Linked DNA regions of Oryctolagus cuniculus. The protein of the gene in region 1 interacts with the protein of each later gene in a biochemical or structural test. Links are inferred from orthologs where the notes say so. Each region holds a gene or a part of one and is shown in the gene's direction. Other genes may lie near its edges.

The links.
Region 2: of the proteins of LRRK2 (region 1) and MAP2K6, one has a biochemical effect on the other in vitro, tested with the Homo sapiens proteins (2 studies listed by BioGRID). The link is inferred for Oryctolagus cuniculus from reciprocal best matches to the Homo sapiens genes LRRK2 and MAP2K6.

The regions. Positions count from the first base shown.
Region 1 is NC_091440.1:131,852,951-131,860,770, forward strand, and holds part of LRRK2 (leucine-rich repeat serine/threonine-protein kinase 2), read left to right. Parts: coding exon 1-34; intron 35-5,564; coding exon 5,565-5,752; intron 5,753-6,572; coding exon 6,573-6,727; intron 6,728-7,820. UniProt on the Homo sapiens protein: Serine/threonine-protein kinase which phosphorylates a broad range of proteins involved in multiple processes such as neuronal plasticity, innate immunity, autophagy, and vesicle trafficking.
Region 2 is NC_091448.1:10,247,587-10,255,406, reverse strand, and holds part of MAP2K6 (dual specificity mitogen-activated protein kinase kinase 6), read left to right. Parts: intron 1-1,690; coding exon 1,691-1,807; intron 1,808-2,441; coding exon 2,442-2,493; intron 2,494-4,799; coding exon 4,800-4,927; intron 4,928-6,724; coding exon 6,725-6,802; intron 6,803-7,820. UniProt on the Homo sapiens protein: Dual specificity protein kinase which acts as an essential component of the MAP kinase signal transduction pathway.

The DNA.
Region 1 (7,820 bases):
GGAACCCAAGTGGCTCTGCAAAGTCATGGCCCAGGTTGGTGTCTTAGGGTTTCCTGCGTGTGGGGGAGGGGTTGTGGTTGAGGAGCAAGCGTGTGGCGCCCCGAGCACGGAGCATCTCCTAGGATGCGTTTGGTTAAATTGGAAGTGGGTATCAAGATCGGACATTGTGGAAGCCTTCGGGCAGCAGGAGGTTCACGGGGAGCTGGCTGACGCGGGAGGGGTCTGCCACCCACAAGCCTTCGCTTTCAAGCCAGTGGTGGACGCCTGTGCACCTCCAGCCCAGGCCGTTCTCCTGGACCCTGAACACGTCTGTGGTTTGCTGTTCATTGAGTCGGGTGAAGGCTCTCTGAAAACCCTTGGGGCCAACGCCCGTAGGAAGATGGGGCGGGGGAGCCTGTGGAGCCTCTGTCTAGTTAACACGGAGGGATGTTTTGACTCACTCATTAGGTATTCAGTTGGGATTTGATTCATCTACTAAATGATACAGAGCCAGTAGATCAGAGCTTGGCCTGTTTCTAGATGTCCTCTGAAGACTTACTGGCTTTTTGGTGTTTCTTGATGTTTCAAGCCTTTGTGTGTTTCTGAAATAGGGATAGCAATGTTATCCTCTTGATTGCCTTTCTGGTTCGCTGCAAGTGAGGAGTTAATGTTTCTAATTTTGTTTTTGAGCCATTTTGCAATGTAAGGTATAATACTTTAGAAAGTGAAGAGAAATACTTTTAAAACTGAAAAACACTCATTTCATTTTGGAAAGTGCATCAGTTATGGATTCAAATAAAAAATGTATGCAAGTAGCTGCATCCCATACAGGAAAGGGAGTTTTCGACAGACCTGGCAGATTTGTCTTCCTGGGTGGCACACTGTAACTGTCAGAAAACAGCCAAGCTGTGTGCAGCCAAGAAAAGACCAGAACTCCCCCCGGGAGAGAGAGGTTTCGTGAGGCTTTGGGACATCTGAAGTCACATGTATGTAAATGATTTTTGGGTGAGCATGTCTGCTAGGGTAGAGTGAGAAGCAGCTGTGAGTGAAAACCGGGCTTTTCTTAAACAAGCTGGTTCCCACACAGTGATCTTCCCAGGTTCTGTGGAGTAATTAAGTTGAAACTCCATGAAATTTCTTCTCACTAGCATACTTAGAATACAAACTTGCTAATTGAAGTGGAAATGAAATCCAGAGGTTGAATAGCTCAGTTACTTGCACAGATTTGAAATGTCAGGAAAAATGTAAATTTAGATTTCTCATTCACTTGAAAAATAAATCCCATCGTTTTTATTTATGCTGATAAATTCAAATACAATGCCATTTTTCACTTAGCTTCACAGGGAATGGAAACTATAAATAGTCAAGCGCGAACAAGAGCCACTTGTCTGACACCATCAGCAGAAATAAACAGGGGTCTTCCCTCCATGAGTCACCAGGGCTGGGGTGAGAACAACTCCGAGGTGCAGGAGCTCAGAGGAGCCCACCCACCCTCCTGTACCCTGCATTGCTGTCAACTCAGGGAGGAGTTTGTGAAACTTACTTAGCTGTGTGAGAAAGACATGAAAAAGAAAAAAAAAAGGCATGCTTGCTTGGCAATTTATTCTTTTTTTTGTTAATTATTTAAGGAATACAAATTTCATTAGTACAACTTTAGGAATATGGTTACTCTTCCCAGCATACTCACCCTCCCACCCTTCCTCCTCCTTCCCTTCCTCGTCTCATTCTCCACTAAGATTCATTTTCAGTTAACTTTGTACACAGAAGACCAACTCTATACTGAGTAAATATTTTAACAATTTGCTCACACACACACACACACATAACTGAGAACAATTTAGTGCACAGTGACTCATGTTGTTAATTTAACAATTAACACTATTATGTATGATATCAGTGATCACTTGAGGTTCTTGATGTGAGCTGCCTAGGCTATGGAATCCTTTTGAATCCACAAAATCTGTCAGTATTTAGACAAGGCCACAGGCAAAGTAGTTCTCTCCTCCCTTTAGAGAACATCCTGCTATGATGGCCACTTCTTTCCTCTGGGATCTCACTCACAGAGATCCTTCATGTAGAAGATTTTTTGCCGCGGAGTTCTGGCTGTCCATGCCTAAAATGCTCTCAGGGGCTTTTCAGCCAGATCAGGAAGCCTTAAGGGCTGATTCTGAGTTCAGAGTGTTATTTAAGCAATTGTAATTATGAGATTCTGCTGTGTGGACTGCTTCCCATGTTGGAACATTCTCTCCTTTTTATTTCTATCCATTATTATTACCAGACACTTGATCCTATTTATGTGATCACTTTAACACTTGAGGTGGCATTTTTTACCACCCAGTTTAATGGGATTTGGGGTCTCATGTCAAGCTTTTAAACTGTACCCTTAGAAGTCCATAGGAATGTTTGCAGAACTCTACAGCTTTACAGTTACAAACTTCCTCCTTCCTCTTTTATTCCCACTCTTATTTTTTACTGAGATCCATCCTCATTTGAGTTTATACACATATGATAAACTCTATGTTAAGTAAAGAGTTCAACAAATAGTATGAAGAAAAAAAAACAGAAAAAATAAAAAAGACAAAACTGTCTCTCAACATCAAGATAAGGGCAGCTCAAGTCATCCCTTTAGAAAGTGTCAATTTCACTTCTACAGATTTCGTTTTAGGTGCTCTATTAGTTCTCAAGGATCAGGGAGAGCATAAGGTATTTGTCCCTTGGGGACTGGCTTATTTCACTATGATGTTTTCCATATTCATCCATTTTGTTGTAAATGACCAGATTTCATTTTTTAGTGCTGTGTAGTATTCCATAGTGTACATATCCCATAATTTCTTTATCCAGTCTTTGGTGATGGGCATTTAGGGTGATTCCAAGAGGGCTTGTTGATTTAATCAAGTGGAGCATTAGAATGCTTTCTTGGCAATTTAATCTTTAAAAAAAAAATAATACATGGAAGAAATACAGAGGAACTGGGGAAATGGTATTTCCTTGAATGAGAGTGCAAGTCAGCCATGCAAGTCACTAGGGTAAGAAGTTATATCTTTTAAAGATAATGTAATTAAGATAGTATTTCAGGTTTTATTGCTGTGTAATAAGGCATTCCCAAACTTGTAGACTTAAGATACCAATAGTTTGTAATCTCTCACTCGTCTCTGGGTTGAGTGGGCTCAGCAGAGTGGTTCCTTCCCACGTGGTGCTGGGCAAAGGCTGTTCACTTGTCATGGTTCACTGAGCTGGGCTGGAAGGCTCTGGAAATATCTCTGCACATTTGGGGTGTATTGGTGCCCCTCTGGTAGCCCAGGTGGGCTTCATCATGGCATGATGGTCACAGGGTGATTAGATACCTCACATGCTGACTGACAGCCAACAGGAACAAAGTGCAAGTTACCAGTCCTCTTAAAGTGTAGCTCCAGAACTGGCAAAATGTCAGTTCTGCTACCGTCCAGTGACCAGAGCAACCATCAGGCCATCCTGGATTCAAGGGGGAAGAGAATGGACTCTGCTTCTTCATGAATTGAGCAGGACACATGTATAGGGGAAGCACTGATGATATCGGTCTTTGGAAACCATTATAAAAAGTGATAGCATAATATACAGATCTGCAGAAAAAATTCAGCACAGAGGTTTTTAAATGAGTTCATCTAACTAAAACAAATTAGAATAACTAGACAATAATGGCTCACATACACAGCATGGAGAAGTGGAAATTGATGGGCAGAAAGGGTGAATAATTCACCTAGCACTATGTTGTTCAGAAGAATTAGTTAGGATTTCAAGCTGAGTAGTTGGACTTGAGTGCCTGTCAGTTAAGGTAAGACACCCCAGATGTCACTTCCGAGTTCATTCATCCAACGATATTCCTACTAAAATAGGAAACGGTTTTGCTCTCCACCTAACAAGTTTGGACAAACTGGGTCTCCTGTAAAGTCCACAGTTGAGATGAATTCTGAACTAGCTTTCATCTATTAATGGCCCTTTGTACCTTGTCTTTAAATACCAGTATGTTCAAACAGTCATTCGTTCATTGATTCAGCAAATACCATATACACAAAACAGGAGCGTAGACATGGTCAGAGCAGTCCCTGGACCTAAGGATTTTACAGTTCAGTGTATTGCGCAGTACATGGCAACAAAAATAGTGTTTGTTGCTACTAAAATATTGCTCAAGCATGCTGGACCTGGAGAGAATTAAGCCCAAGCTACTTTTGGGAATGAATTCGGCTAAGGAAGAGAGAGTCTGTAGGTAGCTAGAGCTAAAATGCAAGGGCTGACTGTGTGTGTGTCACAAGCACTTTCCACTCTCGTGGAAATCTAAGGGACAGTCATTGTTTTCATCTCCTTTTACAGAGAAGGAGGCTGTGCCTTAAAGAAATTAAATCCCTTTTCTGAAGTCACCCCACTTGCTTCAGAGCCTGGATTTGAACCTGGGTTCGTCTCAAGTGACCAAGTGAGACTTGATCAAGGCTCACATTGTGGTCTCCGTGTTAGAATTGTCCAGTTTGCTTCTTTCTTTTTTTTTAAGATTTTTTATTTATTTATTTGAGAGGTAGAGTCACAGACAGTGAGAGGGAGAGACAGAGAGAGAGGTCTTCCATCCGTTGGTTCACTCCCCAAATGGCCACAACAGCCAGAGCTGCACCGATCTGAAACCAGGAGCCAGGAGCTTCTTCCAGGTCTCCCACATGGTGCAGGGGCCCAAGGACTTGGGCCATCTTCTACTGCTTTTCCAGGCCACAGCAGAGAGCTGGACTGGAAGAGGAGCAAATGGAACTAGAACCAGTGCCCATATGGGATGCTGGTGCCTTGGGTGGAGGATTAACCTACTGCGCCACAGCGCCAGCCCCCAGGTTGCTTATTTCAAAAGCAGATTCTTGGGCCTCAGCCCAGCCTGCTGACCCAGACTCTGGGAGCAGATCCAGCAGAAGCGTAGTTACTCTGAGACTCACTGACTGTTCTCCTCCGCCTCTGCCCAGGAACAGAAACCTCGCCTGTTCTGTACCCATCGGGTGATCTTTCTGCTGCACACCTGGAGGGGTGACTGGCAGAGAGCACTTTTCCAGGACTGTGTTACTGATGAGGCTGCAGTACAGATGTGCTGTATTGGATTTATCATTGAATTAGAGCGGGGAAGTCTTGAGGTTCAGAGGATATTTGTGATCTGAACTCAGACTCTTAATTTAACAAACATTGGGAAGGGTGGGTACCCTCTTGGGATTCAAGGCTACTAGAGAAATTAGGTCCCCAGTTGTACTTAACAACATTTAAATTGTTCTGGTCATTTGCACTTGACATGAATTGTAGTCAATGAATGCATAATAGTTTGTATTGTTATCAGAAGACCAGGAACAGTGGACCATTAATTAATAGAAATGGTAGTCAGGACTCCTGCTGCATTCTGTACCTTACAGGAAACTCAGATTGCTCTCACAGGTTAGTTGATAAGGAAAACCATTTATTTGTTTAATTTTTTAAAAATTCTAAGACCTTCTCTGACAATTTAACAAAGCATTTCATGTCACTTTAAATTTGAAATATTTCAGAAAATGAGTGCTAGTGATTGATATTTATGAGTTCGAATTCTTCAGATTTTGACAGTGAAAGTGGAAGGCTATCCGAAACATCCTAAGGGAATTATTTCACGTAGAGATGTGGAAAAATTCCTGTCGAAGAAAAGGAGATTTCCAAAGAATTACATGACACAGTACGTTAAACTCCTGGAAAAATTCCAGATCGCCTTGCCAATAGGAGAAGAGTACTTACTGGTTCCAAGCAGGTAAAATAACCCATTAAAACTATTACGCCATGAAAATTAATGACCTACTGCCTTGTTTTAATGGTCAGATAAAATCAGTTTATAATAGATGTATGAAATTTTTAGCCTCTTGTGTAAACTTTGTACTGAAATATAGCATTTGCTTTTAATTAAAACAATGTGTTTGATGGTTCATAGCAAATGGCTTATTTTATTTATATAATTACTCTTTGGTTTACTATTGCTTAAGTTACTTAAGAAGGGTCAGTATTAGAGGGGTGTGTGTGTGTGTGTGTGTGTGTGTGTGTGTGTGTCTGTATCCCTATTCACACAGTGCTGAGAGAATTTCTGTATTAGGGAAGTGGATCAGAGTTTTTAAATGATTCATTCCATCACAATGAAATCCTAAATTCTGGTCCTGTGTTGTAGAAATTTGTCCTCATTGCTTTCTGAGCAACCTGGGAAGTCCATAAAGTGTTATGATGTTGAAAGGTGCAAATGACAGTGATGGACGGCAAGCAATTCTAAAAAAGATACTTTTTTTGAGCTCATTTTTTCAAGTTTTATAAAATCGATATTTTTGTAAATGGCTAACTATAATAAATGATTTGGATACAAAGGGTTACTGAAAACCTTTCCTGCATCTATTATATCTGAGTATGCACTGAGTTGATCAAATGCCCATCAAACATTTGATACAAGAAGAGCAAAGAGTGGAGAATCTTGCAGAGTGTGTCACCAGTTACAGTGGTTGGCTTCCTTGGTTTCGAGTAGTAAGTGCTTTGGTCAACGTGGCTGGTGATGTTGGTGCTTCCTAAAGACGATGTCCTCTTCCCTTTAGTCTCTCTGACCACCGGCCCGTAATAGAGCTTCCACACTGTGAGAACTCGGAAATCATCATCCGGCTCTATGAAATGCCTTATTTCCCCATGGGGTTTTGGTCAAGATTAATTAACCGGTTACTTGAGATCTCACCTTACATGCTTTCGGGAAGAGGTAAGTTTATACTGAAGACAGTATTTACAAAAGTTAGGGGCAGAGCATTTTAAACATTATATGCCAGTTTCCTTGAGTTTGCCTTTCTGGAAGACAAGCTCCTGAGAACTGAGCTTGGCCAGTACAAAGGTGCATGAGCACACACAGACTCAGGCCATGTGTCAGGAAGAACATCCCTCAGGCCCTCGAGCCGGCCCATCCCAAGTGCTTTAACACGTTCCCAGCAAGCATTAATATCTTGTTTTCCATGCCCACAGCAAATTGTAAACAATAATTTTAAAAGGTGAGATTAGTTAGAATTCATTGTCTCTCTCTCTCTCTCTCTCTCTCTCACACACACACACACACACACACACACACTCATGAAAGACAAAAATGCAATGATTACTATATAATCAATGAGGTTAGTCAACAGATGTGACAGGTTCTGGCCGCGCCGTGGAGGGCCCATAATGTCTGTGTTCTGTTGTACCATCCTCAAGCAACTGACAAAAAGAACAAAAATGGATGTTTATGAAGTCAGCTGTTTTTCTTAAACTGAAGAGATGTCTAAGTGCCTCAAAGGGAAAACACCAATTTTTTAAAAATATTTTTTCCAAAATAAACTTTATCTTGCTGGTAATTAATCCACATATAAGTAGTTAGACTGCTCAGGAGGTTTTAGTTTTACTGTGACCATCAAAACATTATGAGGGTGGCTGGCATTGTGTTGTAGTGGGTTAATCTACCACTTGTCACACAGGCATCCCGTATTGGAGTGCCAGTTTGAGTCCTGGCTTGGCTGCTCTGCTTCCATTCCCTCTCCCTGCTGTTGCACAGGGGAGGGCAATAGCTGGTGGCCCAAGGACTTGAGTTCCTACTGCCCCTGTGGGAGAACCAGATGGAGTTCCTGCCTTCTGCCTTTGGCTTGGACCACACTTCGCTGTTACAGGCATTTGAGGGGTTGATTGATGTGCAAACTGTCTCTCTTGATCTCTCTCTCTCTCTATCTCGCCCTCTGATGCTAAGCATTTAGAGTAAATAAATCTTGTAAAAAGTGTGCTTATTTACACTTCATTATTTGTTAATCATATTAAAGTGCTTATCAGTATGA
Region 2 (7,820 bases), on another chromosome or scaffold:
CATTCTTTTTATAGCTGAATAATATTCCATCAGATATACATACCACATTTTCTTTATCCATTCATTTTAGGATTGACACCTTGGTTGGTTCCAGATTTTGGCTGCTGTGGTCAGTGCTGCTATAAATGTGATGGTGCAGTATCTCTTTGATACACTGTGTTCAAGTCTTTCAGTATATACCCAGTAGTGGTGTATGCCACTAGTTTTTTAGAGAAATCTCCACACTGTTTTCCACAGTGACTGCACTAATTTACATTTCCATCAACAGTATTAAAGTGTTCCCCTTTGTCTACATCCTTGCCAGCATCTGTCACTCCCTGTTTTGGATTTTAGCTATTCTGACAGAGGTGAGGTGATATATCATTGTGGTTTTGATTTGCATTTCCCTGATGGCTAGTGATGTTGAGTATTTTTTCATATATTTGTTGTGAATTTGTGTTGCTTAATTGAGAACTTTTATTGAAATTCTTTTTCTGTTTCTCAACTGGATTGATTTTTTTTGTTAAATTTTTTAAGTTGTTGAGTATTCAGGATATTAATCTTTGTCATACGGTTTGCAAACATTTTTTCCCATTCTCTTGGTCCTCTTTTCACTCTATTGATTATTTTCTTTGCTGTGTAAAGGCTTCTGAGTTTGATGTAGTCCCATTTGTTTAGTTTTGCTTTTATTGCCTATGCTTTGGGGGTCTTGTCCAAGAAGTTGGCCTCTACATCAATGTCCTGGAGCGTTTTCCCTACATTTTCTTCCATCAACTTCAGAGTCTCAGGACTTAAATTTATGCCTTTGATCCATGTTCAGTTGATTTTTGTATATGGTGAGAGGTTTGGATCTAATTTAATTCTTCTACACATATACATACATTTTGCTAGCACCATTTGTTGAAGAGATTTTTATCCCTATACTGCCATATGATCTGAGTACTTTTGTCAAAAATCAGTTGGCTATATGTATGTGGATTAATTTCTGGGCTCTCTGTTCTGTTCATTTGATCTGTGTATCAGTTTTTATGCCAGCATCAAGCTTTTTTAATTATGATAGCTTTGTAGAATGCTTCAAAATCAGGTATTGTGATGCCTCTAGCTTGGTTTTTCTTGTTCAGGATTGCTTCAGCTATTTAAGATCTTTTGTGATTCCATATGAATTTTAGGATTTTTTTTCTAACTCCGTTATGAATGCCATTGGTATTTTGATAGGAATTACATTGAATCTGTAGATTGCTTTATCCTTTGGCCAAATATACGTTTATGAACCCCTTGGATTTCCTTTTATCTTTTTCCTCTACCTCCATTTTTCACTTTGCTGTTACATGAAGTATGAAGCATTACCTCAGTCTTAAAATCAGACTTTTGACCAAGTGTGAGAAATCAGAGATTGATAGGTATCTGGACATCCTCCTGGATGGCAGTGATGGTAAAGGCTTGGGTTTCTAGGATTCTGTTGCTTATGGTCATTAGGAATTAGGTTCTAGTTTCTGTGAATGAGTGAGAGATCACAACACATTTTACTTGGGTTGCTCTTTGGAGGTAATCTTGCTCACTTAGAAATTCCTTTGAGATCCTGAAGGGAAGATGTGCATTTCCTCCCAAAACTCAAGCAAACAATGGTCAGTTCTTGAGGACTGGTGTTAACTGTTTCTTGTCTTTCCCTTTTCCATTCTCTTTAACAATCCATGAACTTATTGATCTTCAGGGTGATGTCTGGATCTGCATGGAGCTCATGGATACATCACTAGATAAATTCTACAAACAAGTCATTGATAAAGGCCAAACAATTCCAGAGGACATCTTAGGGAAAATAGCTGTTTCTGTGAGTACATCATGAGCAAGCATGAGGAGAATGTGAGCAGTCCAGGCCATGTATGTCTATGTATGTTCAGTATGAAGAAACTCTGCCTGGACAGTAGCTACCATCCAGCGTGTGCCTGTTGAATGCATGAGTTCATTGGTAGATGGATAAATATTTTTTTTCCTTATGAGCACCACATAGCAATGTTCCCACTGACTGAGTTTTGTCATTTCCAGGTTAAATGACTGTAAGCAGTGTGTTCATCTGCTATGATTGCATTCCTGTGTTTTCAATTTTTATTTGTAGAGTTTTGAATGTTTTCTTAAGACCAATAGGCATAGAAGAAATAGGAGGAATGACTGTGACCTTAATGGTTATTAAGGCTCAGGAGGGTAAAGAAGGAAAACAGTTCTTGAGGACAAATGAAAACAAGATAGACAGTGTGGGGCATCTTCTCTGCTATAGATACAGTCCTCTCTTGTGGATGGAGTCAATTTGTGTAACTCCCTGTGTATTTTTCTGGATAGGACAGCACTATTTAAGAAAATACCTCACCCTGTCTCCTTAAGCCAGGGATAATAAACCTGGATATACTTGTCATTCAATTCCTTTCCAGTGATAGGGTAAATAAATCTATCTTGTGTTTCTCTTGCAGATTGTAAAAGCATTAGAACATTTACACAGTAAGCTCTCTGTCATTCATCGAGGTAAGAACCATGGAGCTTCCTGGGCTATTCCTCTTATAAAGTTTATTTCTTTTACCTGGAGTCCCTCCATCCCTCCCCAAGGATGGCTGTGGAGTTGAGTCAGGCAGTAGAACTAAGTGCTTCCTTTGAGGACTGGATAGCCAATCAAATAAGAAGCTTTTTTTTCTTTAACTTGGCTGGGAGCTAAGGAAGACATGGACTTTAAAGTCTACCTAAGCTGAATATAAAGTACCTGTTACTAAGCAGTGCTTGGGATTACATCATTCAGAATTTTAGAAAATAGATAAAAATCCATCTTATATTGACCATCACATGGTGGCTTGTTAGAAAAGCAGAATCACCAAATGAATCTGAATTCTGCATTTTAACAAGGCCCCCAGCTGACTCTTGTGCACAAAAAAAATGTGTGAAAGTCTCTGGTATAAAGTAGAACCATTTCAGACAGCCAGAAGGCAGAATGAAATGATTTTACACTTCCTTCTCTCCTGCCTTCATTTTTTCCCTTGTGGCTCTTTTGATAGAGAACCAAATGAAAGATACAAAAAGAACATGGGAAAAACATAAACCACCTTACAAATATGACAACATCAGATATGCAAATATAGGTAGAATGGAAAACAGGAACTGTTGGTCTTTGGGAGACAATAGCCAGGGAAATCTTTGTAAAGATGCCTTTGGCTAGGTCTTTGAGAAAATTCATGGAAAGTAATTTCATCTAATAAAACTTTGTGGTTTGGGTAGTTCTTAAACTCTGAGGCTGTAAATAATGTAAAGTGCCTTGCAAAGTATGCCTATTATTGTTTTTATTATTACTAATTGTTGTCTTTAAAAATTGGAAAAATAGGAAGAAGAGAAGAAAGTAGGGAGGAATACATATTGGAGAAAGAATATGGACTGCCAACAAATGTGAAACTGATTTTAAGGGTTTATTTTAAAATTATGAAATACTAATTCCTATTGGAGAATGTATATATGATATACAAAATAATAAAATGAATTACATATATATGTCATTCAATCTCAGGAAAAAATTATGAAAGATAATTTTTAAGGCTTTTAGAGTAACTATCTCCTTCTGATTCCATGTTCCTTATAAAGAATGTCATAAATGGAAAAAATAACTATTTTCTAATTTCATTACCCAGATATAACAATAATTCATTTTTTGAGCATGTGAATAGGTAGGTTATATCTTTCAAGTCCACAGAACTCACTTAAAATCCACCTAGTAATGCCCTTTCTCCCATGATCTGCCCCGTATTTCTGGAATACTGGGTTTATTGTGTGTTACCCTATGGTGATACCTGAAACGTCTCTTGCAGAACTGGTTGCTTTGATCCTCGTTAGTGTATCATCATTTTTTTTTTTTTTTTTGACAGGCAGAGTGGACAGTGAGAGAGAGAGACAGAGAGAGAAAGGTCTTCCTTTGCCGTTGGTTCACCCTCCAATGGCCGCCGCTGCAGCCGGCGCACCGCGCTGATCCTGGCAGGAGCCAGGAGCCAGGTGCTTTTCCTGGTCTCCCATGGGGTGCAGGGCCCAAGCACCTGGGCCATCCTCCACTGCACTCCCTGGCCATAGCAGAGAGCTGGCCTGGAAGAGGGGCAACCGGGACAGAATCCGGCACCCCAACCGGGACTAGAACCCTGTGTGCCGGCGCCGCAAGGTGGAGGATTAGCCTATTGAGCCACGGCGCCGGCTAGTGTATCATCATTGTATTAAAATCTACCTTTTCATTCCTTCTTCTACTACTCCTCCAGTATATGTGAAGGTACTTAAAAAATTCATGCAACTAAAATACACAATTATTTTGGTACAGAATTTTTAATGCATACGTAGATTTTTCATAACACATTTTCTACAAACTTTTGAAGAACTCTTTTATGCATAGATTTCATCTTTTTTTGTGCCAAAATAAACTTATCCTCTAATTTCATTTTCCAGGAACTTTTCAAAGTACCCTGTATGCAACAGATTATTTTGAACTGAGCATGTGGTACAGCAATAGTTTTTTAAGTTCATGGTACATGTGTGGGGGCAATGAAGGTGAAAAGCTGAGTAGAGGAAATCATTTTTTTTCTTGATTTTTAATTGCAATCCTTCAAGAAAACTACTAAACATGAAATGGAAAATCAAGCTGAAAGCAGTGAGTAGTGTTTAAGTATGTGTCCAGGTTGACAGTTACTTTTGTCTTGGGCAGCTTAGGGCAAAGAAGATGAAGGGCAAGTAGAGATTTCAGGCCACCTGCTGGCAGAGAGATGAACTTCCAAGCAGGCTGGAATCATGGATTCCGGTTGTTCTTATTTCAGACGTCAAGCCTTCTAATGTGCTGATTAATACCCTGGGCCAAGTGAAGATGTGTGACTTTGGAATCAGTGGCTACCTGGTGGATTCAGTTGCTAAAACAATTGATGCGGGTTGCAAACCATACATGGCCGTAAGTATAGCAGCTGGGGATGGTGTCAGAATGAATGTGCTGGCAAAACTTCCTAGCACCTTCCAGGAAGTACGAAATTGGTGATAGCCACTGAAAAAAAAAAAAAAAAGTGGAAATGTGCCTGAGGACTCAAGAAATATTCTGTATCTTCTTTATTCCTAAAGATTTCCGGTCTGAAATCCTTAGTCACTGGCTTCATACATTGTCTTAGTGCCTTTGGTCACATTTAACAAAATACGAGTAAACTCAGGGGTGATAAGCAACAGAAATGTATTTCTCACCATTTTGGAGGCTGGGAAGTCTACAATCAGAGTGCTTTCAGATTCAGGGTCTGTTTTTGTCTGGTTCGCAGATGGTGCCTTCTTTCTAGCTGTGCCCTCACATGTGGTGGAGACAAGGGGTTCACTACAGAGCCTTCTAGCTGTGCCCTCACATGTGGTGGAGACAAGGGGTTCACTACAGAGCCTTCTAGCTGTGCCCTCACATGTGGTGGAGACAAGGGGTTCACTACAGAGCCTTCTAGCTGTGCCCTCACATGTGGTGGAGACAAGGGGTTCACTACAGAGCCTTCTAGCTGTGCCCTCACATGTGGTGGAGACAAGGGGTTCACTACAGAGCCTCTTCTCTCAGGGCACTGCTGGAGCTGGTGCTGAAGCCTACTCACTACACAAAGGCTCTGCCCCCTAATGCCTGCACATTGGGATGACTTTCAACATTTTGGGGGGACACAAACATTCAGACTACAGTGTTCGAAATTTGTTTTCCTAAAAATCAAAGCAATACACTCTTTGAAAAAACTCACAAGTAATACATACAGCTCACAGAATTTCCACGGTGACTTGTAGGTGAATGTCGCCTTGTTTGTTGAGGACAGGATAGCAAGTAGAATTTAAATCACTCAAAGGAAGGCCATTTCATCGTGAGAGAACCTCACAACTGTGTACATTCATTGCCGTTAGCAGAGACCTTGGGATCTTCGTTAACTGAGGGAGTATCCTGCTTGGAAATGGACTTGTGTTTGGGATTGCAAAGCTTCCCATTTGTCTTTAGATGAAAGCTTCTTGGGTGTGTTCTCACCCGACAGAGCTCGGTCACTCTTGGGGATTCTTATTAGTGTTGGTATATATATATATTTTTTTTGACAGGCAGAGTGGACAGTGAGAGAGACAGACAGAAAGAAAGGTCTTCCTTTGCCGTTGGTTCACCCTCCAATGGCCGCTGCGGCCAGCGCGCTGCGGCCTGTGCACCGCACTGATCCAATGGCAGGAGCCAGGTGCTTCTCCTGGTCTCCCATGGGGTGCAGGGCCCAAGCACTTGGGCCATCCTCCACTGTACTCCCTGACCACAGCAGAGAGCTGGCCTGGAAGAGGGGCAGACGGGACAGAATCTGGTGCCCCGACCTGGACTAGAACGCGGTGTGCTGGCGTCGCAAGGCGGAGGATTAGCCTAGTGAGCCGCGGCGCCGGCCCTACTGTTGGTATTTTTAACAAGAGTAAATCTAGATGGACAAAGGAGTTTTATGACATATAACCTGTTTCTTCTTAGGGCAAAATTAAAATTTGTTGGGAATGAACATTGACCCATTATTGTCTCTGAGAAAAGACTAACATATCTGGAAAACCCCATGGAGATATGGTTATTTGTTATATTTATGGAGTCTTTCTGACCTGAGTCATGTTAGCAGCTTAAAACAGCTCACTTGGCGGTGGTGCTGACCCCCATCCCAAAGACTTTATTGAGCTAAAAATGTCATCTCAGTTATCTTTCCAGTTTCTCACTTGTCTCTCTCCTTTCCAGCCTGAAAGAATAAACCCAGAGCTCAACCAGAAGGGATACAGTGTGAAGTCTGACATTTGGAGTCTGGGCATCACCATGGTAGTGTATGATAATCAACATGGACTTGAGGTTCTGGGAACGAAGCTGCAATGGGTGGATTTTGGGACCAAGCTGCAATATCCTAAATGCTAGCCTTCATCATTCATTTTTGCCTGCACTGGCAGGAGATTTTGAGAGATAATTATTTACAGTGTTGTGAAGTAGAAGCATTGAACTGGTATTGGGCAAACCGAATTTTCTCTTTATTCTACCTCTTAATAATTATATGCCCTTGAGTAAATGGTGTAATTACATGGGCTTTCTGTCCTCATCTAGAAAGTGAGAGTGTTTGACTAGATGCTACCTAGGGTTTAAAATTTAAATTGTTGTAGTTAAGGCAAGAAGTTGAAGCTACAGAAAGAGTCCCAAAGATCTTTGTTATCCAAGACATGGACTCTGCTTCCCAGGGCATTTTTATTTTAGATGTCTTGACTATTGAACAGGTCAGGGATATTCTAAAGACTTGGTAACAAATAGCTCAATGTTCTTTGGCATGGCCCTACATTTATACAAAGAGTGTGTTATTTAGAACTTTGGTGATCATAAATTTTCAGTGTATCACTAAAGTCTAGAATTATCCACAATAGTCCTGGATCCTTTCCAGGCACAGCAGCTGAGTAAATCCTGTGAGTTATTTCACATCTATGCCCAGAAAACACGTGATCCCAGCACAGCAAAGTGGTCTTTAATCAAGTCCAAAAACAGATCAGTCATTTGGTCCTAGATTACTTTTTTCCTCCCTTTTTCACCAACTGACCTGCAGGTGGCAGCAGATGTCCAGCTCTGTCTAGGTCTTCCAGTGTGATTTACTTTTCAGACCAAACATTTGAAAACCTGATTGCTTTAGGTTGTCTTAGAATGTTTGTGAAGCACAACAGTTGATTTTAGTGAACAACTTAGTTTCTGATAAGTTTATTTTAAAGTTTCTTTTGTTTCTTTGAAAGGCAGAGAGAGAGAAAGAGAGAGAGAGAGAGAGAGAGAGAGATCAAATACTTGCAACAGCCAGTGCTGGGTCAGG